Linked DNA regions of Schizosaccharomyces pombe. Changing the gene in region 4 together with the main gene of any one other region gives a genetic interaction. Each region holds a gene or a part of one and is shown on either strand. Other genes may lie near its edges.

Evidence for each region.
Region 1: mutations in pxl1 (region 4) and ric1 impair growth when combined (synthetic growth defect), as found in Schizosaccharomyces pombe (one study listed by BioGRID).
Region 2: mutations in pxl1 (region 4) and fic1 are lethal when combined (synthetic lethality), as found in Schizosaccharomyces pombe (2 studies listed by BioGRID).
Region 3: mutations in pxl1 (region 4) and bgs1 are lethal when combined (synthetic lethality), as found in Schizosaccharomyces pombe (2 studies listed by BioGRID, with this or other methods).

What each region holds. Positions count from the first base shown.
Region 1 is NC_003424.3:4,501,405-4,509,957, reverse strand, and holds ric1 (Rab-specific(Ryh1/Ypt6) Ric1-Rgp1 guanyl-nucleotide exchange factor subunit Ric1/Sat4), read left to right. Parts: upstream 1-3,076; 5' UTR 3,077-3,116; coding exon 3,117-6,275; 3' UTR 6,276-6,472; downstream 6,473-8,553. Other genes in the region: grp1 (GRIP domain-containing protein), read left to right, coding at 108-2,360; CK2 family regulatory subunit Ckb1, read right to left, coding at 6,571-6,963, 7,169-7,448, 7,528-7,550; 1-acylglycerol-3-phosphate O-acyltransferase Slc1, read right to left, coding at 8,422-8,553. UniProt on the Schizosaccharomyces pombe protein: Probable component of a guanine nucleotide exchange factor (GEF) that may be required for efficient fusion of endosome-derived vesicles with the Golgi.
Region 2 is NC_003423.3:1,542,992-1,546,655, reverse strand, and holds fic1 (contractile ring-membrane anchor Fic1), read left to right. Parts: upstream 1-1,880; 5' UTR 1,881-1,889; coding exon 1,890-1,937; intron 1,938-1,990; coding exon 1,991-2,761; 3' UTR 2,762-3,164; downstream 3,165-3,664. Other genes in the region: multiprotein bridging factor Mbf1, read right to left, coding at 3,611-3,664. UniProt on the Schizosaccharomyces pombe protein: Involved in the ingression of the plasma membrane during cytokinesis, leading to the separation of the daughter cells.
Region 3 is NC_003423.3:2,350,160-2,360,719, reverse strand, and holds bgs1 (primary septum and spore wall linear 1,3-beta-glucan synthase catalytic subunit Bgs1), read left to right. Parts: upstream 1-3,355; 5' UTR 3,356-4,476; coding exon 4,477-9,666; 3' UTR 9,667-9,798; downstream 9,799-10,560. Other genes in the region: DNA-binding transcription factor, MADS-box Mbx1, read right to left, coding at 1-719, 792-875, 1,027-1,173, 1,241-1,291; SPOM_SPBC19G7.04 (protein-DNA covalent cross-linking repair protein), read right to left, coding at 9,954-10,332, 10,376-10,560. UniProt on the Schizosaccharomyces pombe protein: Alternate catalytic subunit of the 1,3-beta-glucan synthase (GS) complex. Synthesizes 1,3-beta-glucan, a major structural component of the fungal cell wall. Required for the assembly of the division septum and maintenance of cell polarity.
Region 4 is NC_003423.3:2,708,937-2,716,041, forward strand, and holds pxl1 (paxillin-like protein Pxl1), read left to right. Parts: upstream 1-3,231; 5' UTR 3,232-3,575; coding exon 3,576-3,604; intron 3,605-3,660; coding exon 3,661-4,948; 3' UTR 4,949-5,271; downstream 5,272-7,105. Other genes in the region: asn2 (asparagine synthase), read right to left, coding at 912-2,558; erb1 (WD repeat/BOP1NT protein), read right to left, coding at 5,488-7,105.

The DNA.
Region 1 (8,553 bases), on a different chromosome or scaffold from region 4:
CCAGTCAATTACAATATCTAACAACTAATATTTCCAAGCACGTATAAGATTAAATAACATTATACGATTTAATCTATGGGTACTTTCTTTCTTGGTTATCAATCAAAATGCTGGGAAGATTAAAAGATCAATTGAACATGACACTGGCCCAAGGCCAGGAAGAAGCTAAGAATCGACGTAGGCAGTTTCAAGAAGAAGATCAATTAAGAAGAAATAATAAATCTTCTAATAAGCTCTCTCAAAATGAAGAGGACGCGAAAAATATGGACTCCGTCGTACAAAAATTGAATGAACTACAAAATAACGTTGTAGCGTTTCAAAAGCTTCTACAGGAGAAAACTCCGTTGTCAAGTATTCAAGACTTAGAAGGATTCCGTGAATTTATGGAGAATTTAGAGCATCGTTATGAAATGACAGTTAGCGAAGTTAGGAGATTATCGCATGAAGTGAATGATTTACAGACTGATCGGGAGAATTTAAAACATCAGTTCGAGGATCAAATTGAAAAGCTGAACTCTGAAATAAGTAATCAAAACAGTTTAATTCTACAGAAAAAAGATGAGCTAGAAAAGTCAATACAAAGATGCTCGGAACTTGAAGAGAAGATTAATTCGTTGGAAAGTGCACAATCCATTGAGCAGGAGGTTATTTCCAGTTTGAAAGATGATAAAACAGTAGAGACAAAAAATGACGTTCCCGAAGTTTCAAGGCCCTCAACTGATACTATAGGTGTCAGCAGTGCTTTATCAAAGAAGAAGAAGAAAAGGAATCGTAAAAATCAAAAGAAAAAGTCAACTAAACAAAATATAGAAGCGACTACAGAGAATGATGCGCTTTCCGAGTCCATTAGTACGCCTGACATACAAAAGGTAGCACAAAGTGAAGATGTAGATGCAGAACAAGATACAGTTGCCGATAGTAAAGAAGAGGAACGAAGAGACATAGCTAATGATGATTTGATTGTTAATGCCAATGCCAAGGAACCAATGCATCATTTTTCTTTCACTGATTTAGATACATTATTGAACTGGCCGAAATATGTGTTTCATCACCATAAAATACACCTAGCAGATACCATTCCTTTGGTTTTTTTGGATTTGAAACCGAAAGAGTATACCGTAGATTTAGAAACGCCAAAGCTTGTTGAAGAACTTACTAAGCAGTTACATGTTGCCGAAAGTACTTTAAAGGAAAACTCGGAAAAATTTAAGCAGAACTCTGAAAGTTTGAAGTCTAGAGTTGATAACTTAAACGATTATATTACAAAGTTGCAAAACGAAATTGACGAATGCAGAAGAAATTTACTGTGGGCAGAATCGTCATGTGAAACAATACGAGAAGAAAATCAAAAGAATATTAAAAAACTGAACGATGCTGAATCACTCAAAAGTAGGTTACTTCAATCCCGAACGCAGATGCAGACAGAACTTGATTCTTACATCACATCTAATAGTCAGCTTAAAGACGAAATTACTTCTTTGAAACAAACAGTCTCCGAGAGTGAAGCAGAACGGAAAAGACTATTCTCCAGTGCACAGGAAAAGCAACTTCAAATGAAAGAGACGGTAAATAAACTTACCTCATTACAAGAACAAAACAATGAGTTCGACCGTCAACTGAAAGAACAGGAGGAAGATTTGCAAAACAAAGAGGAAGAACTGACTGAACTTCGTAAATTACTCCGTGAACAAACGCAGGATAGTCAGAAATTACGTTTATTAGTTGAGCAATTGGAATTGGAACGTCAAGATTTGAAGCAGGCTGGTGAAAACCATTACTCGAACCTATCTTCTGATTACGAAACTCAGATTAAAAGCTTAGAATCCAGTCTGACTAACTCCCAAGCTGAATGCGTTAGTTTCCAGGAGAAAATTAATGAACTAAATTCTCAAATAGATGAACTGAAACTTAAGTTGAATGAAGCTAATAAAAAGTATCAGGAGCTGGCCATTTCTTTTGAAAACTCCAACGTGAAAACTCAATCAGTTGAGCCCGATAACGGTTTATCGTTGGAGGCCCTGAAGAATGAAAATCAAACACTTCTCAAGAATTTGGAAGATTCGACAGCACGATACGAACACCTGCAAAAGTCATTCAAAAATGTGTTCAATCAACTACGTAAGCAACAACCTTCTAACCATGGGAGAAACAGTTCTGTAAGCCGCTCTTCTTCGTCAGTGGAAGTTAATTCTAAGCATCCTGGCTCGGATGACATGCTAATAGATAAGGAATACACACGCAACATTCTTTTCCAATTTCTCGAACAGAGGGATCGTCGGCCTGAAATTGTGAACTTGCTGTCGATTTTGTTAGATTTGTCTGAAGAACAAAAGCAAAAGCTTTTGTCTGTGAAATATTAATGTGGTAAAATTTTCATTCCGTTTTACTGCTTTTTTCTCTTTCTTTGTATTATTCATCATATTGTTAATGTCCATTACGATGTGGAACATTTGTTTGATTTTGTATGCCGCTTTCCATTCTTGGCAGTGATTTCACGCGATAATATCTTTTGGAAGGGTATGCTATTATAATGTTAATAACGGTCTTTTGCATAGAACCCACGAATTCAAATACGTTTTTTTTTTTTGCGAATAATTAATTAAACCAATCAAGTTCTTTGTCTTGTTTTTGAAATCTTGAACCGAGCTTAGGTCTATTCGATTTATAATTAACTTTTTTCAAACCTCTCATTTAGGGAAATGAATAGGAAATCATGTACCAATGAATGAATTGAAGCCTTATTGTAATTTTATAGCTGATGGCTAATCTATTGTACAATTTGACAATACTTTCGTTAACAAAGCAGAGCATAATTTGCCATTCCTAAAGTAAAAATGGACTAGAAGCTTTTTCCTAGATTACTGCATTCGTTTGACATCTAGTAAATAAAATATCAGCTCCATTATACAATAATATAAGTATCCTTCAATTGATATGCAAGTTGCAAATTAACAAATTGCGAAATTATTATTTAACGAATTAAGTTGTTCCTTTTGTTGCACTTTTTAACGAAAATGGTGGTAGAACATCAGCGTCAACTGTTGATCCTTACGTTCTCAAAGGGTTCAGCATCCTTGGAAATGGTTAAACTCCTTGTCGAATAAGGTGAACTATTCATGTACTTCCTTCATGGAACACCTCAGAGAATACAATTGTCCTCCAGAGCAATACAAATATGTCGAATCCCTAAAGTGTCGTTCTTCGTTGTTTTGACTGAAACCGAGATTTTAATATATCAAATTCGACCCTTGACACTCATATCAAAGATAACAAAGTCTCAGAACTTATTTGAACGTCATGGAAAGAACAAAAAAATAGCTGTTAACTCTGAATACGGAATTATAGCGGTTGCAACTGAAAAGAACTATGTAGCTGTCTATCATTTCACTTTAAATGCTTCCAAGCCTGTACTAACGCCAAGTCCTTATTTAACTCGATACGATGATGGACCTGGCGAAATATTTGGGCCTATAAAGTGTGAAATCCAATACAAGCTTGCTATGCGATATGGAGGTGGGCTTAAATGCCTGGAGATTCAAAGGGACTCCATCGTTTATGCTGCAGATTCTGCACCAATTATTCAGGTTTCAACGCTGGAAACAACTGACCCTAATAAGTTGTGGAAAGTGTCAAGTAAACAGTACGATTTACGAGAAGTCACTTGGTTTCTGGATCATTCTTCTCTCATATCTCGACTCTATTTCGATGTTAAAATCGACACTTTCTTTTGGATGTCAACTGATGGAAGAGTTTATGCCAATATCGGTGTTTCTTCCAACACGAATACGAAAAGTCTGTTTGGCCTTTGCGTACATAACCCTGTAGATTTGAATAAGTCAGATAATGACAAGGACATTAATGAGGACCTGGAATCCAAGCTTAGAGAAAAGAAGGCGACTGTTTTATCTACAAATGCCAGATTTTCTCTTTTATATGTTGGTACCGCCGATGGAACTGTGTATGCTTATGAAATACGAGATTTCGGTCGCCAATATGTTCAAACTCATTCTTTTAAATATTCGGCAAGCTCCGGAAAGGTTAATCATATTGCTACGACAGGTGATGGCCATCAAGTTATGGTTGGATACGATGACGGTTGGGCTACACTGTCTCCTTATCTCAACTTGTGTTGTGCTAGTAGTGAAACTGAATATTTTAATTTTGGGTTATCCTGTGGCTTTTGGGATAGAGATAGTTCTTCCTTTTATGGACTAGGATCTAAAAATTTTTCTTCTACAGGTGAAGCTGAGGGAACGGGATTATCTACTCCGATTATCGCCGAATCCTTAAAAGAAAACGACGAGTTTTTTGCTATGGAAAAAGAGAACGTTGATATCCAGTATTTGTCACAAAACGACAATACAAATGATGTCTTATATAGTATTACGGATTCTAAACAATTTATTAGCACTATTTATATTTTACCTTTTTTAAAGAGCACCATAGTTTCAAGTGTACAAAGCACCTTGCAAGTTTGTGGAGCTCAAACTAGCGATCGGTTATATATTTCGAAGTCATATGAATTTTGTTCTAGCGTTAAAAACAATTTTGGCATTGACTTTTGGGATCAAGTTGAGTATCCTCAACCATATGTTGCTTCTGAATGGCCTATTAGATATGTTTCTATCAAAGATGATGGAAGTTTGATAGCAATCGCTGGGCTTCATGGATTAGCTATATATGTTTGCTCAAAAAAGACCTGGTTCTTATATAAAGATGCCAATATGGAACAATTAATCAGTGTTACTTGTCCAATGATTTGGTGCTCACAATTTTTGCTAGCCGGTGTTGTTTGCGAGTCCAACTTTGAGCTACACCTATACAAAGCAAAAGGGCCTTTAGACGATAGAGAAAACTTGGCTAAATTATCGTTTACTTCAACAATTGTGACAATGTCAGTCTGCGACGAATATTCTTTGGTTGTCTATACAGCTGATAATTTCCTCCATCACATCAGATTCGATATAAACGAATTAGGAAGATTAGAACTCGACTATTTAACATCCGTAAATTTTGCTCCAATATTCACTACTCCATCCAGAGTTCGAAGCATAACGTTATTACTACCAAAAGACCTTGCAAATATTCAACCTTCTGATTTACTTTTTTATGCAGTCCTTCTGGTTCTCATTAATGGAAAACTTGTTTTGTTAAGTCTAAAAAAACAACATTCTAAAGAGCTTTTATATCAGTGCAGCATGCTAGCGGGAGACGTTGAGTTTTACTTTATCAATGGAAGTCAAGAAATCCCTTCATTATTTCATTCTATATGGATCATGACGGGAAAGGGACTTAAGCTATGGTTATCTTTTAGCGAGATCCTTTCCTCTGTTTTGATAAATACTAAAAACCTTATAGATGGCCTTCCAAAGTTTCTCAATACATCAAAAAGAGTATCTCTAGAAAATTTTCATCGTTTATCTGTTGAAGACCTCAGATCGCCCAGCTTTGTCTACAAAAATGGGGTTGATTGTAACTTTGATAACACACATCTTGCTAAATTGATTAAAAATGTAAATATTTCTGAAAAGTTTCAAAAGGAATGTATAGATCTGGAATCTCAGGGATGTTTGCTGACTGTATTAAGCAATTATGGACTTCTATTAACTGCTTATACCCAGGGTCATAAAAACTTAGTTAATAAGATGGAATACGCTCATATCCAAATAGGTGTTTATCCATTCCTTCCGGAAATTGTTCGAGCACTATTACTGTTAGATAAACGTGAGCAAGCTATTGACTTAGTCAAGACATATGGGCACTTGCATTATATCAATTTTGTGTTAGAAAAATTACTTTCTTCATCATTATTGACCTACAACTCATCACAGCGAGATAAATTGCTTTATGAAGTATCCTTATTATTTAAAGACTTGCAAGAGTTTACCACTTTTAAAATCGTTCTGGGTTGCCTGCGAAAAACTGAAGCTGAATACTGGCCGATGATATTTAAGTATTTCGGAGAACCAAAAGACTTAATGAAAAAGTGTTTAGAAACAGAAGATGTTAAAAGTGCCGCAGAGTGTTTGATAATATGGCAGATCCATCAGGGTTCAGCCAGTTGTGCTTCTACCTTTCTAAGTATATACGAAATGGCTTTAAAAATAAAAAACTGGGACGTTTGTACGGAGTTATCTAGCTACCTGGTGAGTCTGGATCCCGAAAAACGTTTACTGAAGACAGCGCTGGAACTTCTCGATGAAGGGCCTGATTCCAAGGACATTCGTCTTTACGATCAATTTAACAATTTGATGAAAGAAGTGGATAAATATTAACCACAGTATATGTCATGATCAAAACTAAATTATTAAAGCAATTATCAAAGTAAAAAAAGAGGTTCAAAGCTGAATAAGCATAAAAGGTTTTAGCTTCAATGATGATTAGAAGTTTGAAAATTACGCTCTTAGATAAAAGGAGCTGATGCTTCGGGAAAAATCTAAAAACGTAAAAGTTCATTCTAGTAAAAACTGTCATAGCTATAATGTAAATAAAATTTTTTGCCTTGGTGATTATGGGACTTCGAAGAATCGGGTGAACTTCTATTGTTAATGAAGATTAAGCAAAATGCCTTTAAGTTATTGCCAGTTTATTTTTTGATTCAGCTTCGGCTCCCTGTAAACGCTTTTTTTGCTTTTCTTTGTATACATCTTGTTTTTTAAAGGTAGCAGAATAGCTATGTACTTTGAAACCAAAAATACGTGGAATGTAGCGTTCTTGAGATTTAGGGACCGCAAGTTCAGGGTATACCTGAAAAAGCATGTGAGGGAATGAGGTTCCAAAATATGCACCATCAATGGATGCATGTCTTTGTGATTTTGGTGTGTACACATCCTCACACCGAGGACAGTATAATTTAACGGATTTTGTATGGGCAATATCCGACAAGCCGACGGGCAACATTGGCTGTCCGTTGCATAAAACTCTAGGGCAATGCCCAAAGTCACATTTTTTGTATTTCTCAAGCTAGAAAGGATGTTAGTCAAAATCCAAAGCTAATTAAAACGAAATAGTACGGTATGACATAAATGTAATAAAATTGAAGAATTGAAAGATAAGTCAAGTTACACACTTAGTGTCCATTATACTTGTCTAATGCCTGTTTTGTTCACGAAGATTGTATCCAAACTTAAAAACAGGAAACTAGAAGTTTACAAACATAATTGCTTACCATTTTATATAAACCCTGAGCCGTTAAGATATAACGGGCGTGAATAAGGCCGTACAAATGACGAGCACTAGCTTCTACCTCATCTTGTACTTCCTCTGGTAAATCAGGATCCAATACATCTAAAATGAGGTCTAAAGACTGGGAGTAGTGTGGAACTTCATGACTCAATCCAGTCAAATTAAAGCGATCCTGGATGAAGTCTTCGTCGACTTCGCAAAAAAATTCGTTTCCTTTTAGTCCTAAAAACCAATCAACCCAATATTGAGAATCATCGGATTCACTGCAATTAATGATTAATAAACGGTCCAATATGGCCAAAATGTAAAATATTTTTTTATTTAACCCTAATTTGCACAAACCTTTCCGAAGAGTATAGCTGCATGCTTCGTTCCGATTTACGTTGAAAAGCTGCACCAAAAATCCTAATTGCTTAATGCAAAATTTGATTTCCGTTTCAGCCTTAGCAGCTTCTAATATATGGAAAATTTGAAGAGAAGTACGTTGTCGTATCGTAGTCTTTCTGGAGCTCCGGTGTTTTCCTTCATTCTACACTAAAGGAATGAAAAACTAATTAGCGTGTTACTAGAAATTCAATTTGCTGCACTTCGGTATGTTATCTAGCACTTAAACGTTTATGCACTGGGATGCACTATAGTAGCACAATAGTTCATTCTATTAAAACTGCTTTAGCAACAAAAATGAAATATTTAGCGTTCCATCTGCTACAAAGCAACTTCTATTTTGTTATTGCTGTGTTATTTACATTATACTTGATGTTGTACCTTTTAAGGAATAATACAGGTGTGACAGTGACACTTTGTAGAATGATATAGCTATCATTGTAGTTAAGTCTCTAATATTGTACTGCTTAATAAGAAGTCGCAATAGATAAAACGTTGGTTCAATTGGAAATTTGAACAAACAAACTGTTCTCGCTTCGAATCCACAGTGAATTATATAAATTACTATGGCTTGCGTTTCTCGAGATTCGTACTTAGGGAATCTTGCAATATACATAACCAGCTACTACCTAGTAACTGCCAAATAAATCGTAAAGCTAAATTAATCAGTTATTCATAGAGGTATTTATAAAAAGTACGGCTTGTTCTAAACAAAAAAAGAAAAGCGTCAATGATATTATCAAACCTATTTGATTTAAAACGAAACAAACCACCTTAGGATAGGTAAATGCTTCTCTCAGTTGAACTAACAAGTAATTATATAAGAACACCAATTGTGTGTCTTCTTCCTATTTACTGTTTTTTTACCTTTCCATAGTCATCGATTTCAACCAATGCATTGTTCATAGCGGTTTCAGTCTCGTGTAGAAGATCATTCACATCTTCAGCAGTTTTCCCCTCCGTAGGAATTGGATCAAGCACTTT
Region 2 (3,664 bases), 1.2 Mb from region 4:
AACGATCAGTGTTATTGATAAGAAAGCGTCATACTCGTCATGTTTAGTAGGGTCAATGACGATAGGAGCAAATTTTCAAATTTTCATAAAAATTCGGTTTTCAACACAACCCGTCACGTTTTTATCACGCTCTTCCAATTTTACAGCCTTTTACATAATCAAACTTCACAATTGCATGTATAAACACATACCTATTTGACTTAATCAACCAAACGTACTAGTAGCAGGTCGTCGTCATGAACCAGAGAATTCGTAATTCAGATCCAACTAAGCGATGACTACTGTATAAATGATGAAAAGACTCGGTCAACTGTCCAAACTGAAATTTACAAACAGAAAAATGGTTTTCGTCAATTCAATCGTTCAAAAAGTGCTCAAAGTAAACTTTTTAGCAATTTCCTAAGTAGTTTCTTTCTTCTTATGTTGTAAGTAAAGGGTAAGTTGTAAATTCCTAGTGCCACACTTCCACCTGTTTCAAACAGATGACGTCATTGCATCACTTTGCATGATTGAACTTAACCAATCACGTGCGGGGCTCTGAAGAAGGGTAACAAGGAAATGGGTCTGGAATAAACCGAGCAAGACGATACTTAAAGTACTGCTGTGTAGTTTTGTATTTTGTGTTATCGTATCGTTAAGAAACGTATCGATAGTTTGGGGAATGGGAAAGGATGGACGGAAAGTAGGATGTTATTGGTATATCATGGAGTGCGTGCTTTTTAAGCAAATATGATGTTAGCAATATGTAGTAAAAATGGTGAGTTTGTGTATAGTGCCATGAATCTTATTTCACTCTTAACTCAAGCTTATTTTATATTAACCGATGAATGAATAAATAATATATCTTTGATGAAGCTAAATCGTTGCGTGTATTTCTGATATTATGTTGTATGTAGGTAAGTGTTTTAGGTTGGACTTCTGCGTGTTTGTAAGATGTGTACGTACGCTGAGTAATTAGCAATGTATGAATAGATCCAGCAGTTCCAGAAGACCTACGAAAAAATAAAATAAAATAAAATAAAATAAAGTAAAAAATAAAATTAAAATAAAAATAAAGATAGGTTATACGCAGAAATAATATACAAGTTTCAAATATTATGAGTACTTGTCACGAATTCAATTATGGAGAATTCTGTACAGTAGGATCTTTCAAAAAGTCTTTACATAGACTTAGATTGTATATATAACATACCAACCCTTACAACATTTAAATAACAGTTTTAATAGCTAATTCATTTGTTTTACAATGAAATCTTTTGCTTACATTTTCGGGAACTTATTAGTCAATACGGGTTGGCATTTTGTTGGGATTACGGATCCGAAAACTACCCAAAAGATAAGCAAAGAAAATGAAGTTTTTTAAAAACAAAATAAATTTGTATTCGTGAAACATAAAAGAATAAAAAAATTAAGTTAGAAACATTTTATGCAAATCATTCCATTCAATTAGCAATTGTGATGGAATTGGTTATACCAATAGATATTTTACACTCATTTTAAAACAATTAAAATTAAGTGAATATATTTGTGTGGTGTGTACTGAGTCAATCATTAATGCAATTAGTTATATTAATAAAGTTCTTTTTGTTTGCGATAACTTTCGTCTCTCTTTTTTTTTTTTTTTTTTTGTTAATTTTTAATTTTTTTTAACACGGCATCTTTCTTCACGAATTTCCTAACTGGAGCCATCAATATCGTAGCGTACACAAATTTCCGTTAAAGCATTTTAAATTGCAGTAAGCTACGTTAAATGAATGAACGAAAGCTAACCCCCGTTATCGGAGACAAACCAGCCCCCTCCTACAGAAGTTGCGCTGCACTGCTTAAAATCCGCACTCGAATTGTATAAAGTAGCTTTTTTGTTTATAACCCGTTTCTCCATCTACCATATGTCAAAGAATCCTCTTGGAACGTTGGTTGTCCGAATATGGAAAGCTGTAAGTCTTAAAAGATGAAGATTTGTTTTGTAAAACTAACGTGTCTTCTTTAGAAAAATTTACCAAACAAGGCTCTAGTGGGCAAACAAAGCCCTTACTGCGTTTGCAGAGTTGGTGAGGTGGTAAAACGTACGCAAACGGATAAGAGAAGCGGTCAAGAACCATCGTGGAATGCGGTACTGGAGTTTAACATTCCCAGTGAATCTTATCATATTATGAAAATAACCGTTTTTCACGAGGGATTTCGAAAGCATCCACACTTGATTGGTGATACTGTATTGTCTTTTGAGAAAGCGATGAAAGAAGAGTTACAAAGTGAATGGTATGAACTAAAAAATGAGTTCCAATTTGCTGGCGAGCTATCTGTGCAATTCAAGTTTATCCCCACTGATCCTCTATACTTTGACCGTGCTTCTTCTAAGCCAGTTTTACAATTTCCATATTCTAGTGTCGCCGCTTTAACTCCTGTACCTAAAAAACCCTCCAAACCCTCCAAACCTCGCAAAAAGGTACCTGTCTCGCATCCTCTTCCTCCAACTCCTCCTTCCAGGGAAGAGCATGTTTCGGTGCCTCGCGAATCTTCTTTATTCACATATGAGGATGATCCCTTGCCTTCTTTTCCCAGTCCTTATATGGTTGATGATTATTACACGCAAGATGTTTTCGTGTCTGACAATGTCAATGATTATTCATATGGTGTACAAAACCCCACGAATCCTAGATTGTCCGTTGAAGACTACGATGCCAACCATTCCTCTCTACCTCCCGTCCCCCCACCTCATTTAATTCTTCCTACAGCTTCTTCTTCCCAAATATTCCATTAAACCACACATTCTCTTTTTTTTTATATTCAATGGTCACTGCATTCATCGATTTAGGTGGTATGGTATAAATTTCCTAATCTTAACATCTTTTCATTTTTTTAATTATGTATATACAATTTCCCTAAAGCCATGCACGCACTTTGATTGAATTTCTCTTGTACATACAGGCCTTTACCACTTTTCAAGTCTTAATAATTTTTTTACCTCATAAAGATGAGCGGTTCTAGTTATTATCCAAGGTTGTTTTGTTTTTTTAAACACTTCCATCTCCTCTTTTTCTTTCTCTCCTTTTTTGGTCTCTTAATTCCATACGATTGGAATGTTTAACATTCATCCTATATTTAGAGATTGAAAAGTGTACATAACTCATATATTTCTTGAATTTATTCATTAAAACTATCAATTTTATATTATCAATTTTTTGGAACAAAAACCCCTTTGATCGTATTTTTAAAAGCTTTTTACTAAACTTCATTTGTATTTCTGATATAAGTCATTTGTTTAACTGTTTTTTTTAGACACCAATGTAGCAACAGAAACATCTTCAGCCTTGCGACCCATTACTTCCGATGAAAACAAATATAGCTGCTTTACCTTACCCTGCTATGAACAACGATACATTTCAAGTCAAAATCTAAAAGTCATTACAATACAATAGTTACTAACATCAACTTGGACGGAAAAAAAGTACATTGAAAATACTATACATAGAAACCTATATAACATATATACAGGTATATATTTTAAAGAAGGCCTGGATTATGTATAAATATTGATAACATCAAAACGAAAATGAAACATTATTTTCTTTTTTATTGTCATGAAAACGGAACCACAAAGTAATTGTGATTACTTCTTTTTAGGACCGCCCAAAGGAGCACCAATGTTTTGGCCACGTAATTT
Region 3 (10,560 bases), 360 kb from region 4:
TATAATTCTCCACGGTTTTCTTGACCCAAATTATCGGGAAGAAAAGGAGGCGTAATTTGATTTATAGCAGAGTCCAAAGGTGTTATAGGTGTTGAGCTGGGATCCAAATAACCAGAAGAAGGACTTTGAATAAAATCAGTTAGCCCGTCAATAGAAGCATGAGAAGTATGCAGCCTGGATATTCGCGGTTTTCCATTACGACGATTTTTAAAAGATTGGCTGCGACGAACAGAGCTACGATCAGCTCGGGAAGATGATTGTCCATATGCTTGACGCTTAGGAGTAAGGAAAGGGATAAAATTATCGGTTTGCGGAACATCATTATGTTGAAAAGACAGTGTAGGATTCAACGATTCAGGAGGAACAGAAAAAGACGATGAAGAAGACGGTTCTAAAGGTGAGTCAGAGTAATCTCCAGAAACTGGAGAGACAAAAGAATGTTTGACTGTTGGAGAAAGAGGAAGGTCATTATAAACCGACGCATGGTCCGGTATGGTAATCGACTCTATTTTCTTGTTCTCGCTTGCAGTAGTTGGAGTAGTATGGTACGTGGTAGAGGATTTGATCGTGAAAGATTGAAAGTCATTTTCACTGTCGGTAGCAGAAGAGCAATTATTAGAAGGTTGAGCACTGTATGTGGTAACAGAAGCAATCCGCTTATCTTTAGGTCTCCAATTATGAAGGGATTCATCAGATGGTATATTAGGATTTATGTTTCTCTTTCTCCCCAAGGGATTATGTTAGTAAACAGAATACAGGACAAGCATAATGATTGCTGATAAGTGACTTACCAGAGGGTCAACCGTGACAAAGTCCTTGTTCAGGAATTTTTGCAGCAAGGCATCTCTTTGCTCTTCCGGTTCCTCAGAAGAATACTAAAGAGGTGTATGTTAATATTAAAAACTTGTAAAAACATTGCCACGTTTTCTGGTTGTTGACCTTCATCACCTTCCCTATAATGTATTCACTTTACATTGAAAGGATATGACAGAAAAGGATCAGAAAAACGGGAAATATGAAACATACAACGTGACAAGCATTTTTAGAATCAAAAATCATGACCACCACTTTAGCATCACACAAAACGGAGAGTTCATGTGCTTTTTTTATCAAGCCAAGTCGTCGACGATTAAAAGTAAGAGCCTTATTTTTTGCATCGGAAATACGCTGTATCTAAATGGTACGTTAGCGAGGAGAAAAGGGGTGTATGAATGGAACCAAACCACTATGTAGCACATACAGAACGGCGAGGAGATGAAGGAGCAGTACTAGGAGGAGGATTAATATCCATAGTTAGAGTCCAAATATTTAGGTAATAATATAAATAAGAAGTAGAAAAAGAGCGACAATTAAGAACCAAAATAGTAAAAAAACAACAAAAAAAGGATTAAAAATTAAACCAATTGACTAAATCAACCGAGGAAATTCAGTGAAGTCTAGAAATAAAAATTAGGAGAAAAGGGAGAAGGAAAAAAGGGCGCAAAGAAAGTGAGAGTTTCGACTATTCTTATATTCTTGTTTCGTGATTATTGACAGTGTAATAAAAATCAAAATTAAGGGAAGGCAAAGACGCATGCAAGGAAGTGCAAAACTTAAAGGTTGAAATACAAAATATGATTATCCGCTAGATTCACTTGAATGTATCAGCTTGACTTGAAATGCAGCAAAACAGTAATGGGTACCAAAATGGGATATAATCTAAAGGGATAAGAATACAAGGAAAATGTCGTTAACGTTTTGGGTAGACGAATGAAAAAACCTTTTAATGTAGAAAAAAGAGATAACTTTGGAAGAATTTTAAAAAAGCAGGCAAATATTAGGATATCATTCAATCGGCTCCTATGACTTGAAGTCTAACCCAATACTAAATGTGCAAAAAAAAATAAGGAAGCCGATCACCAAAATAAATGGAAACCAAATAAAAAAAAGCCAAGGATGAAATTCAAAATATTCAATTTGAGACTTTCAAAATGTAAACAAAGCGACAATAACGGCAATGTAAAGTTTGCGGAGACAAAAAATTTCACCTTTGAATATAAATAGAAACACTGAATAGGCAGTACGGAAAAAAATTTTTCTTAAATCAACCCCAGACTTGAACCAAAATATAAAAAATGTGAAATTTGGATGAAAAAGAAGCGTATACAGCGTATCAGGAACGTATAGTTTGTAGGAAAAAACGCTGGATTTATCCTTTTCAAAATCTCGTGGTAAATGTACTGAGCCTTTCTATAAAGCCCACCCAAGCCCTGTAAGGTACCGGACGAAAAAAGTCTCGCTACAGGGGGTTAAGATGATAAGAAAGGCTAGGGTGCTAGATTATTTATCTAATAAGGTAGTGTAAAGAAGTAAAACAAACTAGAGAAGTAGAAAATATAGGAATTAATGAAATGGAGAAAATGAAAAGAGCAGAAGGTGCGACAATAGAAATAGTTGTAGTCAAATGATTGTAAGAAGTTGTTTAAGTGTGACAACTAAATAGTCATCAAAGATTTAAAAGAATATCGCTGTAATAGTCGATTGATAGATAAAAATATTTACAGGATGTGTTTGTTTTTGGGGTATTCGTAAGGGAAATTGCCCAATCCAAGTCTTAACCAGAATATGGAATGGAAACCTTTTCCAATGCCGGCACATTGTTTCTTCCTTTGGATTAACCAATTGCTTTTAAATTCGTACTCGGTTGTCTTTTCATCTTCTTTAGATCCTAACCAGATTTGTTAGCATTCAAATCCGTACTTTTCCCACGCATTCAATACCCAGACATTGTGCGTCTATGATTTTCCCAATTTTCGGGATTTGCGAAAAAAGCCCAATGCCTAGTTCTCTTCATAAGCTCTATACTGTAATAATCATACCTTTGCTAATTGGGATTCGGTACCTTCTAGCTTTGTATTATTTTTACTATTGTTTACCACCCATGTAGACAATCACATATTAGAAATTAGTTTAACAATTCCAAAAAAAAAGAACACTCGTCGCTTATGTTCACTGTAACTGAATTATGGTTTCAGCTACACTTTCTTGACTTTTTGTAGTTTGTTTACTTCTTTTCCAATTCAAATATAGCGTCCTTAGTTTGGTTAAAAGTATCCATCTAAAACGGTAGCTGGGTATAACGATTGATAAGATGCTACACAGTAGCTGCTTATAAATTCTTTCTTTGTTTGACCGGCTATGGCTTTGCTTTGTATGGGGATGGTTTTTTAAGCCTCCTTGTGCCTCGTTGGTGAGTAACCTGAGCCTCCTACCACGCCAGCCTCTAAATTGCTTACACTAAAATAGGCCTCAATAATGTGCACTACCCTTCCCCATTTCGCTGTTAGTTTTGAAAGAACCGGAATGAGTACAACTTGCAGACAACAAACTAGGAACTGGTGGGTTTTGGCTATTTTCACCGTTCTCTTAGTGGAATTACTCTAAAATTTTTGAAAATATATTGATTAATTAGAGTAAATTATCCTTTTTAACGTCAAATTTTTGATTCTGTTGCACGGAATTAATTTTTTCTTCCTTCTTATATATCTATCATTGGTTCCTTCTTTTCTTTTTCCTCTCTTTTTTCCTATTAGCCTCCATACAAAAAGGTTGACTCCATCTTAACATTTGCCAAGTTTTCTTGTGTGATATTATCTTTACGTTAGTTGCTCCATCACTGCTAAGTTTTCGGTGTGTGCAAGATCACCTTTTGTCGTAGCATTGTGTTTGTGTGGACGTTTGGCGTTTGTCCCGGGTTCCTCTTACCCTTTCGCTTCTCTTTTCCTTCCATTTTCCCATCTCCATTTACTTTTTTTTCGCTTTGAGAGATTGTAAATAAGCTTCTGCATACGACAATTTAATTGTTCAATCTAAAGTTTATGTGGAAAGCGATTTTATATTTTCTCCTTTTCTTTTAAAAAAACGTCCTTCCTTGAATCGCTTTTTTAAAAATTTGGTCAGTTTCCTAGGTGTGCATTTGTAAGTACTTCTTTTGGTGCTTGCTGTTTTATGGTATTATTATTGTTGTTTTTATAATTATTTCTTCTTTTTTTTCGCCTCTTTTTTTATAATTTGCATACTGTATTTTTAGGTTCCGTTCATTCCCTTTTGAACCTCCGATATCTTAACTACTCTTTCACTTCGTGATCCCACCCTTTTTCCTACTTTTAGAGCTTTTTCCGCCGTCTTCTCTCATCCGGCATACATATATCACCCTTTTTTCTTCTTTTTAGGATTTGAAAAAGTCTTTTACTTTTTTCATTTCAATCAGCACAAATTTTTTTCTCTTCTACTCTTTTGCCCCCATTTTCCAAGGCTTAACTTCTTTCTTTTTAATCTTTTTTTCAAGGTCTCTTAAATTTATTTCTTTCTTTTGAACATCGTTCCTCATTTGCTAGCATTCTTTCTCACAAATTCCAACTTTTCTTTCTTTCAATTCTTCTTAATTTAAGCATTAAAATTTGTCCTCTCTCCTTCTTTTGAGTCTATTTATTCATCATGGATCAGTATTGGCGTGAACAAGAGGGTCGTGGACTCTTTGAAGATGATGCCAATAGTTATGTCTCTGACGATGATACTATGAGCTCTCTGACCCGTATGATTTACGATAAAAACTCTTCTCGTGATGCATTACATTCTGATTATGATAGCTCTTCATTTAATGTCGATTCCAGTTCAGTTGCTTATCCGGCTTGGAATCAAGCTGGTGAAGAGGCTCCTGTTACTATGGAAGGTGTTCAAGAGATCTTGTTGGACCTTACAAATAAACTTGGTTTTCAAAAAGATAACATGCGTAACATTTTTGATTATGTTATGGTTCTTTTAGATTCTCGGGCATCTCGTATGTCTCCTTCCTCGGCACTGCTTACTATCCATGCCGATGTCATTGGTGGTGAACATGCAAATTTTTCAAAGTGGTACTTTGCTTCTCATTTTAATGACGGTCATGCCATTGGATTTCACGATATGTCTTCCCCAATTGTCGAAACAATGACTTTGAAAGAAGCTGAACAGGCATGGAGAGATCAAATGGCAGCATTTTCACCCCATCGCATGATGGTGCAGGTGTGCCTTTATTTTCTTTGCTGGGGTGAAGCTAACAATGTTCGTTTTGTTCCCGAGTGTCTTTGTTTTATATTTGAATGTGCTTATGATTATTATATCTCTTCGGAAGCTAAAGATGTCGATGCTGCTTTGCCCAAGGAATTTTATTTAGACTCGGTTATCACCCCTATTTATCGATTTATTCATGCACAGCTGTTTGAAATTTTGGACGGCAAATACGTCAGACGAGAAAGAGATCATTCTCAAATCATTGGCTATGATGATATTAATCAATTGTTTTGGTCCTACAAGGGCCTTCAGGAAATCATGTGTGCTGATAAAACTCCGTTGTTAGATTTACCACCGTTTATGCGATATCGACATCTTTCCGATGTTGAATGGAAATCATGTTTTTATAAGTCCTATTACGAGTATCGTTCTTGGTTCCATAACGTTACCAATTTCTCACGTATTTGGGTAATGCATATATCTGCTTACTGGTATTATTCGGCTTATAATTCCCCAAATTTGTACACCAAAAATTATCACATCCGCTTGAATAATAAACCTCCTGCTTCTTGTCGTTGGACAGCTTGTGGTTTAGCTGGTGCTATAGCTTCTTTTATCACCTTGGCAGCTGTGGTTTTCGAATATATACATGTTCCTCGTCGTTATCATTCTGCCAGAAGGTTGTGGCCGAGTATGCTGTTATTGATAAGTACGCTACTTCTAAACATCGCACCTGTTGTTTTCATATTTGCTTCGTCTACGAAAGAGCAGCATTATGCTTCTCGATTGGTTGTAGGAATTGTGCATTTCTTTTTCTCGTTGGTCTGTGTAGTTTACTATTCGATTACGCCGTTACGAAATTTGGTTGGTTTCACCACAAAAAGGTCTGGAAAAAACCTTGCTAACAGATTTTTCACCGCCAATTTCACTCCGACCTCAAAAACAGGTGCTTTCGTTTCTTGGTGTCTTTGGATTACAGTTTTGGTGGCCAAATTCTTGGAATCTTATTTCTTTTTAACTTTGAATTTGGCAGATTCTATCAGATTTTTGGGTGCTATGCGACCTTATGACTGCCGTGATTACATTTTAGGAGCTGGACTATGCAAGGCTCAGCCTAAAATTCTCTTGAGTTTACTGTATTTAACTGATCTTTCTCTGTTTTTCCTTGATACTTATCTATGGTACATTCTTATCAGCACTATCTATTCTTTGGCTTATGCTTTTTGCCTGGGTATCAGTGTGTGGACTCCTTGGAGAGAATTGTTTTACCGCGTTCCCAGAAGAATATATACAAAACTGTTGTATACCGATGACATGGAGATTGTCTTCAAGCCAAAAGTACTTATTTCTCAAGTTTGGAATGCCATTATTATCTCGATGTACAGGGAGCATTTGATTTCCCGTACCCAAATTCAGGAGTTGTTGTACCATCAAGTACCTTCTGAAAAGGCAGGCTATCATACTCTTAGAGCTCCCAACTTTTTCTACTCCCAACAGGTTAAGCATTATAAGCAAGATTTGTTTCCGGCTAATTCAGAAGCTGCTCGAAGAATCTCCTTTTTCGCACAATCCTTGGCTGAATCAATACCCAAGACTAGTTCCATTGATGCCATGCCTACCTTCACTGTTTTGGTTCCTCACTATTCTGAGAAAATTTTGTTATCTTTAAGAGAGATTATTCGCGAGGAAGATCAACTTTCTCGCGTAACTCTATTAGAGTACTTGAAGCAGCTATATCCTGTGGAGTGGAGAAATTTTGTTGATGATACAAAATTACTTGCTGATGAAAATGATTCTGTTATTGGCAGTATCGACAATGAAAAAAATGGAGTAAATAAAGCATATGACCTTCCTTTCTATTGTGTTGGATTTAAATCTGCGACTCCGGAGTATACTTTGAGAACAAGAATTTGGGCCTCTCTGAGAACTCAAACTTTGTATCGCACTATCAACGGTTTCAGTAACTATAGTCGTGCCATCAAACTGTTATACAGAACGGAAACACCAGAATTGGTCGAATGGACAAATGGTGACCCTGTGCGATTAGATGAAGAATTGGATTTAATGGCAAACAGGAAGTTCCGATTCTGTGTCTCCATGCAGCGGTATGCTAAGTTTACCAAAGAAGAAGCCGAAAATGCAGAATTTTTATTAAGAGCGTATCCAGACTTGCAAATTGCATATATGGATGAAGATCCTCAATCTCGACATAATGACGAGCGCCATCTTTATTCTGTACTGATTGACGGTCATTGCCCCATTATGGAAAATGGAAAGCGTCGACCCAAATATCGTATTCGTCTATCTGGTAACCCAATTTTGGGTGACGGTAAATCTGATAATCAAAATATGTCTATTCCTTACATTAGAGGTGAATATGTACAAATGATCGATGCCAACCAGGATAATTATTTGGAAGAATGTCTAAAGATTCGTAGCATTCTTGCTGAATTTGAGCAACTTACTCCTCCCTTACATAGCCCTTACTCGGTAAATGCCAAAGCTGCTGACAATCATCCCGTAGCTATTCTCGGTGCTAGAGAATACATTTTTTCAGAAAATACAGGTATGCTTGGAGATGTAGCTGCTGGAAAGGAACAAACATTTGGTACTCTTTTCGCTCGTATTTTATCGTTGATTGGTGGAAAATTGCATTACGGACATCCTGATTTTATTAATGTTTTGTTTATGATTACTCGTGGCGGCGTTTCAAAAGCACAAAAAGGTCTGCATGTTAATGAAGATATTTATGCAGGTATGATTGCTCTTCAACGTGGAGGACGTATTAAGCATTGTGATTACTATCAATGTGGTAAGGGTCGTGACTTGGGTTTTGGCTCAATTCTTAACTTTACTACGAAAATTGGAACGGGTATGGCGGAACAAATGCTTTCAAGAGAATATTTCAACCTTGGCACACAATTACCGTTTGATAGGTTTTTGTCATTTTTCTATGCCCACGCTGGATTTCACGTCAATAACATGGTCATCATGTTTTCTTTACAGTTATTGATGCTTGTTATTATTAATTTGGGAGCAATGTACACTGTTGTTCCGGTTTGTAGATACCGCCAATTTGACTCCTTGACAGCTTCTTTGTACCCTGAAGGTTGTTATCAATTAAAACCAGTTCTCGAGTGGTTGAAGCGTTGTATTTTGTCTATTTTCATTGTCTTTGGTATTGCTTTTGTTCCACTTGCTGTTTGTGAATTAGGGGAACGCGGTGCCATCCGAATGGTTATTCGTTTAGCGAAACAAATATTCTCTCTATCTCCTATTTTTGAAATTTTCACATGCCAAATATATGCGCAGAGTTTAATTGCAAATCTTACGTTTGGTGGTGCACGCTATATTGGTACTAGCAGAGGTTTTGCTACTGTTCGTGTGCCGTTCTCACTATTGTATTCTCGATTCTCTGGACCATCACTTTATTTTGGGTCACGACTTATGTACATGTTATTGTTTGGTTCAATTACTGCTTGGTTGCCGCATTATATTTACTTTTGGATTACGCTGACTGCTCTTTGCATTAGTCCATTCCTTTACAATCCCCATCAATTCGCCTGGACCGATTTCTTTGTTGATTATCGTGAGTTTATGCGCTGGCTATTCCGCGAAAATTCACGCAATCAAGCAAATTCATGGATTGGCAACTGTCAACTTTGCCGTACCAGAGTAACTGGGTATAAACGTAAAATATATGGTAAGAAGGCAGATAAAATTGCTATGGATTCCCCGCGTGCGAGAATTACTACAATGTTTTATGGTGAAATATTAGGGCCTCTAGGAACACTATTTTTCACGTGTATTCCATTTCTCTTTATCAATTCCCAACCTGGTAACGATGATGAGACCCAATCTACTAATGCTTTTATTCGCTTGATTATTATGTCAGTTGCTCCTTTGGTTTTAAGTGCAATTATTGCTTTTTTCTTTTTCTGTTTAGGAATCATGTTACGTCCTATTCTCGGCGATAGATCTAAAACGTATGGTGTATATTTGGCTGGAGTGGCCCATTTCCTTTTTGTGTGTGTTGATGTTGTTGTCTTTGAAGTATTGGGCTATTTGGAAGGTTGGTCATTTTCAAAAACTTTACTTGGATTTGTAGCAATCATTTCAATTCACAGGTTTGCTCATAAATTTTTTATCATATGTTTCCTGTCTCGAGAATTTCGTCATGATGGTGCCAATTTAGCTTGGTGGTCTGGACGTTGGAATGGCCAAGGTTTTGGATATATGGTTTTAACGCAACCATGGAGAGAATTTGTGTGTAAAACTACAGAGTTGAATATGTTTGCTGGTGATTTCCTTTTAAGTCATCTTTTGTTGTTTTTGCAAGCGCCTGTTATTTTGATTCCTTATATCGACAAACTTCACTCGATCATATTATTCTGGCTTGTGCCCAGCAGACAAATTCGACCCCCAATTTATACCATAAGACAAAACAAACTTCGTCGTCAAATAGTTCTTCGCTATGCCACTTTGTACTTTTCATTGTTTATTGCCTTTTTTGTTCTTTTAATTTTGCCTTTTGTGTTTGGTAAATCAGCTGCTGGAACTTCAATGGATAAATTTAATCTGATTCAGCCAGCGACAAAGATTGTTTATTCTTCAACAAAGAATTCTTCTGTCTAAAGCATTTTATTTTTTTTTAAAGGATTTGTGTGATGTGGATGCTTATTTCTCATTAGAAATGCTCTCAATTAGGGTAAATAATAATTATTATATTTGCATTTTGTTAAATAAAAAATGACTTGAGTGTTGATTAAGTATCTAGTACTTGAGAATATATTATCTAAATAAGTAATGAAGAACGATTGATGGTTAGAGCAAACACAAACTTAATGTCTGTTACATGAGAAAAAATTATTGGTGCACCGTCTGCCCGTAATGTGATATTGATTATGTTATTACGTTCACATTTACAAATCGCTTGAAGAGATAAGGCTAACGGATTTTGAAACGTTTTGTTTAGCATCTTTAGTACGGTGGTACTCATCTGAAAGTTTCTTCATAAGTTCCTTGTGAGTGATGTGTGGGTGTAGCTTTCGTAGTCTCTTAGAATTCTCCTTTAAAAAAATTTGAAATGCATTGGGCTGTTTTATTTTGGGGCAAATTTGTTTAATTTGTGATTTGCATAACCTACAAACTTGTTTCTGTGGATTGATGGATTTTGAGTGCCTTCCATAAAGTTTGTTGCATTTTTCATTAATACACAGCCATTTATACTTGAAGTCAATATCATAATTGTGTTTAGAGGTAATTTCTATATAAGGCATATTGTTCATAATTCGTTTACCCCTTAATAGGTTAGTACATTTATCATTAATTTGCATTGTCATACCATGCTTTGAAGCAGGCGCCATGTGGATTTTGCATTTCATTATCGATGATCCAACAAGCTAAATGGCAAACTTCATGGGCCAAAGTATTGTAAAGCCGTTCTTTTGTGACGATTACTTTATCAGATAATTCAATGTATGCGTATGTCTTTTTCCCAAGTGGCGCGTCCTTGTTATTTCGCTTAAG
Region 4 (7,105 bases):
AACGTTGTTAAAGAGGAGTCAGCGGATATGTTTGTTCCCATTTTGATTTTTGTAGTCCTTCAAGCAAGGCCGGCCCACTTAGTATCTAATATTCAATACATACAAAGGTTTCGTTCTCCCGAAAAACTCACGGGAGAAGTTATGTACTATTTATCTACTCTAATGGGAGCTATGTCCTTCATCGAAACACTGGATTGTAGTTCTCTAACTATAACGGAAGAAGAGTTTAATGCACAAATAGAGAAGTCGATCAAGAAGATGGAAGAGAGAAAGTTGAGCGAAAAGTCTGAATCAAAAACGGCCGTAAACGAGAATGCAACCTACAAGGATCCGGTTCTTTCTCGAGGACTTTCATCATCCATAGATGTATCGACTGGTGTTGCATTGGTAAATTTACCAGAAGAGCTTGAAAATATGAAATACTTGCAAATAGACACTCCTGAAAGCAAAGAATATCCTCGTAGCACAAGGCCGAGAGCTCTTCTCATAGTGGCTCTTTCACAACTGATTCTGGAAAAAGATCACGCAGAAACTCAAACAAGTATGTTGGTTCTAGCGATCGACCTCCCTATCGAGTATCTCGTGCATATTCCTCGTCTGCTACCCATTCTCCCATCGTTCATGAAGAGCAGCCAGTGGATGATGGATTACAACAAAATGATGACCTGCGAGAGGCAACAACAGCGTCTCTTGAGACAGCTGAAGCTGAAAGGCTACAAGCTCGGGAAAAGGCTGAAGCAATTACGGCTTTAAGAGCTATGTTTCCAGCGTTTGACAGTGAAGTGATTGAAGTTGTGTTAAATGCGCAACAAGGAAGGCTTAGTTCATCTATTGATTCCCTTTTGGAGATGAGTTAACATTTGTAGTTTTATGAAATACTCAAGTATAATTTATTATTATTATTATTATTTTTAAATACAAACTTCTAACTTTTTACGACCTGATGTTCTACCGGTTCCAGGAGTCATCTTTGCTGCTTTAGAACCAAACTGAATAGCCCTCTTTTTTTCTTGACTAGCTAAGGGACAACCTAATCGACGTCCTAATTCACGTAAAATTAGTTTGTCACCTCCAACTAAATCTAGACGCATTTTATCAGTAGTTTTCATTTTGCTAAACAAAGCCATCAGACGCTCATCGAGAAAAGGATAACGCACCTCTTTCCCTTGATTAGACATTACCCTGTCATCTCTGCCCAAGTTACGATGTGGAATACGATCAATGTCCAATTGCAGTTCTTCTTCAAGACCGGCCATACCTTTCCGTTCAAACGCTCGTAGGTGCCGCATATAACCACCGAGCTGCTCATCAGCCCCCAGGCCACTGATGAGGACTTTAGCTTTTATAGTATAGGAAGGTAATTGATGTTTCAGTTTGATATCATCCACGTTTTGTAAAAGTACACCACGCCCTTGTGAAGCAAAATAAAAAGCTAATCCAATAGAAAGATCCATAACTGAATCGTTCGGATAGATAAGTGTTTTGACTATTTCCTGTGCTTCACATACTTCTGTATAAGGAACGTTTATAGCAACAAAATTCCATTTTCGAGCAGGGCAAACTGAAATAAGCTCCTGCCAGCCTTGTAATCCAGTTTGTCTATCAGGACATACGTCGTATGCATCAAAATTGTCAGGAAGAAGTCCCGTCTCTCTGTCACGGTATGTCTCTGTAAATCTTGGGTTTTCAAAAGCCACATTAATTAAATCGATGGACTCGTTATTGGGAACTATGTCGTGCATTAGCCGTGCTAATACACCGCAATCCACTCCCCCAGAGTAAAGAACGCAAACTCGGCTATAATGACTACAGTCAAGGTTTGAAGAGCACAGTTTGGGGATTGTTAAAACTCTATCTTGAAGCGCTTTGATAAGATATGTATGCAATGTGTCCACAGTGTCTGAAGAGATTGAGCCCATGAGAAAGGACTCATCCACAGGAGGAAGAGGGTTTGTTTTTTCCAGTTGCATTAATGATTTAGAGAAGTTAATTTTTGGGATCAAGTCCACCTGCACACTATGAAACCCAGGCTCAACTTCTCGGAAATCACTAGAATTTCCTACACTTGAGAGAACGAAATTACTATCTCGTAAACTATACAAAAGGGATCTTCTTCCTAAGCGATCTCTTCCCCACCACAATGTGTTTGTACGAACTTGGTAGTAAACAAAAGCAAAAGGTCCTTGAATACTTCCCAAAATTTTTTCAATGTCGCCCGGGTTATTGTTTAAAAGTTCAAAAAGTTTTGCACCGTCGTTTTCATTACGATTGAGCGTAAATTTGTGATGATCGCTATGGTTTATTTGCCAAATTTCTCCATTCCAACACAAAACGTTTCCAAAACTGTCAACATGAGGTTGAGGCGTTAAATGATCAGAAGGGCCACGTAAATGCAAAACGCTTGACTCAAAGTGCAAATTCCAAGGTCCGCTATTCAATTTATGCTTACCAAAAAAATCAGGTCCTCTAGCCCGAATCCTTTTTCGTAAAGCTGAAAAAGATGGACTTTCAAGAAGATTATCTCTGTCTTCCGCTAAGGCGAAAAGAATTCCGCACATAAACTATTCTCAAACACTTTTGCTTCTAACAAATCTACAGTCAAAAAAGTGTTTTTTCCTTTAACGACGTTTGTGTGGTACAGTGTGATCGTAATTTTATATACAATATCATTTTGCGACACATTGCAACGCTTATAAGTAACTACACACTGAACAGACTCACGGGTCTACATATTTTTTCTTATACAATTATACTTACAACTGGTAAAGAATTTTCTTAGGTCAATCTGTAGCTTGAAAGCCAAAATTAGGTTTCTATTTATGAAACAATAAGCGAAATGCTGTATGCCTGACAAAGCATAATGGGGTAGTTAATGACATTTAAAGAGCTGTAACAATACAGTAAGCATTAATAACGCGCTCCACAATAATCTACTGCCAAAGTATAAAAAAAATAAATTATAAAAAGATATTGTACCATATTATGAAATCGCAACATATAAAATTGTCCAACAAATAACATTGATTTCGTTTGGAACATTTTCTGCATAGGAATGGCTTAATTCACTTTAATTACTAATATATTCGCATTTTTTTACTTTCTGCTGGTATACAAACATTGAATACGTACTCTCTAAGTATTCGTTAAAGGTACAATGTTACCTATTATGAGGCTGGTTTCTATAACAACGAATGTTTGTTTATATTTTGGAATATACACTTAAACAAAGCCAACACTTATTAGCTAAAACACTTTGGATAAAGCAAATATTACTGCTTTCTAAATAATAACTACTTGCTTACAATTGCATTTTTTTAATACAGCTAGTTTTTTTGGGGGACTCCGCTCTTTGAGATATATATCCTTACGTTGGCAACAATTTTCTATAAGTTAATCCCAGCTTGATTTTTGTTTTTCCTTCCTTATCCTTCTCTTCCTATTTTTTATCTTGTTTTTAAGTGTTGCGGCTAGATTTATACCCTGCGAGCTTGGCTATCCTGATTTCTTAAGGTTGTCAACGATCCTGAATTCTTTCCGTTGATTAGTGTCCTGATAGTTGAGAAGCATATCAGCAAATGCATTCACCAATTCCAGAATTACCAAGGTAATCTATTGTCTTATTGTTATTACCCAATTAGGTATCTAACTTCGTTTTTGTAGATTTGAACGTCGATTGACTGGTCCTCGTGCTGCTCCTTCTTCGCCGGTCTCTACTAATGGCTCCCCGCTAAACAATTTAGTTCGTTCTCGGTTATCTGATGGAGCACTTAACTTTACTGGAGGTCGAATAGCTACACCATTACCGCAACCAAGTTTGAAGACTCCTGAATCTCCTTTGTCCAAGAGGAATCCAACAATAAAACAAAATCGTGTACGTTTTGATCTGCCTGATGACGAGCTCTCTCGTTCTAATGTTTCGTCGCCGGAAAAAACACTACTAACCTCTGCTTCTACTTCTACTTTCGATAGCTTAAAAAAGGAGCTTTTACCTGAATTGCCATCTCTTGCATACAGTGACGACGATGAGTTTCCTAGTTCGCCGGAGGAATTGAATTCACATGTTAATTATCCAGACGTACGAAATGTTTACGATTGTCATACCGGTTTACAGCCGCTTGTTGATCATGATTGCATTGAAGACAGACAAAAAACCTTCGCATCCAAACAACTTCCTACTCTTCCTTTACAGAAATCCAGTAAACTTTCCAATCGTAGACCCGCTTTGCATTCTTTTCATTCTGCTCCTGCTAATAGCTTATATCCTTTGCCCACCCCCACTTCACAATTGCCTAGCAACTTGTCCTCAAATAATTTATTTCAATCAGATTCACTTAAGCCTTCAATGGTATCTTCTCATACATCTACAAAACCAGTTCTTTATAGAGGCAATTCTGAAAAATCCTGTCATAGTTGCGGCGGTTCTTTACGCGCTGGCAGAATAATTAGTGCTTCAGGAAAGAAATTACACCCTCAATGCTTCAAATGCGATACTTGTTCCCAGAACTTAGAGCACGTTGGATTTTATTACCGCGAGGGAAAATTTTATTGTCATCTAGACTATCATGAACAGTTCAGTCCTCGCTGTAAGCACTGCAAAACCCCAATTGAAGACCAAGCGGTCCATATCAACAATGATTGGTTTCATGAAAATCATCATTTTTGCGCTGGTTGCTCTGAAGTTTTTAATGTAAATATACCCTGTATTTACCGTGACGACCTATACTGGTGTCAGACTTGTTATGATAATAAGTATGCTGTTAAGTGCAAGAAATGCCGTAAACCCATTTTGGGGATCAGTGTAAAAGGGTCTGATGGTGAATATCATAGCCAATGTTGGACCTGCGGAGCTTGTAATGCCCTACTTGGAGATGAGGGTTATTTTATGATAGAAAATACCCCTATTTGCCGTCCTTGCAAGGCGATATCAGTCAAGTTTAATTTGGATTAACTCAGACTTACTCATCACTTTCTTTTTCTTTTTTTTTTGTTATTTTTTCACTTCTTTCATCGATTTTAGCTTTATAAGGAAAGCTGTCTTGGAAATCTTGGAGATTTTAAATCATTTCATTTAATCCACAAAGTCCAGCATGTTTACTTGCATTTAAACTTGCTGTATTTTTATAATTAAGCAATTAATGATTAGGTAACTATAGATATATAAAAAGCACTATTGAATTTCAACGGTTACGATTTTTGATATCACGTAATACTTAAATACTTTAGATAACTTACCAAAAAATAAAAAATAAAAACATATTCAGTTTGCACAAATGCATTTTAAACTTTCGAAAACCCCTATATTCCTATTAAATATCCAAAATCAAGTACGAAAACAATCTTTTCGACTTGTTAGCAAAACTATAATACAGCATTGAAAAAGTATCTTTTGCAGTAAACACTACCAAACATTATTTTTAAAAGTAGAGTTTTTCTAAATTTTAAAGCAAGTGAAGAAAACAAAAATATTTAAGACGTTTCAAACCTTTTTCAAGTCCACATCCGAATTTCTCCACCAGCACCTGCACTGAATAACCAGGCTTCTTTTGGATGCCAGCATGTGGATAAAACACCGACATTATCAACCACTTTATGATTCCGCAAAATCTTAAGAGGAACAATCAAGGGATTAGCCAGAAGGTCACTGTAAACACGACCGTGGAACACTTGAACATCACCATCATCAGAGCCAGAGCAAAATAGTGGAAGGGAAGGATGATATGAGACATCGCGAAGAGCACGTGAATGATATCGAAGATTTTTATATGGTTTAGAAGAAAAGTCTAAGTCGAACCAACATAGCCTTTTATCATAGGAACCTATTATGACATGGTCCCCACTCGAATGGACACTTAAACTCGAAACCCATTTGACACCAGTTAACAAGGTCTTTACAAGCTCTTGCTTAACAAGATTGTATATGCGGACATATCGTTGAGTAGCAACCAGAAGATAAGGCATAGTAGGGTGAAACGTAACAGCTTGCACAGAACCTTTAGACTTAGAAAATGGCGATTGACTTGCACCTCTTGACAACTGATGAATAAGAACCGCCTGGCTAGAAGAAGTAGGAGAAGAAGTAGCTAGGTAATCACCGCGACGATGCCAAGACAAGGACTTAATGCTACTGGGAGTAGAAACAGTAGCATGGACTATACCACCATGTAATTGTAAAGATTGTTTGGCTCCTCTTCTCCATATTGCACTAGATTCTTGGTAAGGAGCAGAAGTAAACAATTCTTTAGAAGCTTCAATCTGCTCGTCAGAAAAGATCGGGGGTGTGATGAAATAGACTGTTTCATCAACAGCAACAGCAAGCACTGGACTATCTGAAAGAGGTCCCCAAGCAAGTGATTGAATTATAGAGCTCTTTGTAGAGTGACTTAAAGATTCATTAACCGCATCCTCATCGCTATCAATATTATGTGCATTACCAAAACTGTCCAAGCTGCATTTCCAAACACAACGACCAGTCATTACTTCCCAAATACGTAAAACTCCATCATCACCTCCACTTGCAAGCCAATTTCCGCTAACATGGACCGAAAGACAACGAACACGACCTTTATGACCGATGAAAACATTGGTGCAGCGTGTCGGAAATGGACGAAGCTCAGAGGGGGTAGGAAGTTTAGGAAGTAACGATTCTGGATCAATATTAAGTTTGGTACGTCTAACACGGGGAGCTAAATAAAGATCCAAGCAACGTTCAAACTTCTCCTTTATAAGGTTTGAGTAAGCAGGAACAACACGTAAGGATTTATATTTCTTAGGAAAGTCCGAAGACTGTTTTAAGTATTCTTCAGGAGGGTTATAGCTTTCCTCGTGTGATGGAGGAGGAAGCTTAGGTGCAGGTGCATAGTCCAACTTTCTCTGGTTAACAGTTGCTTGATCATCATCCGCCCAAAGATCATGATCTGCATAATTGCTTTGACTTTCGCGTTCACGTTCAGCACGCTGTTCAGAAGTGAGAATTCTTCCTTTACGGATAGCATAAGCAAGCTGTAAAATACGCTTTTGTTCATGCTTAGAGGGAGCAAATCGACGTTTGGGCTCAGGAGCGCTTGAAAGAGGAGTTTCCCGTACGGTGTTTGTAAAAAAATCATCA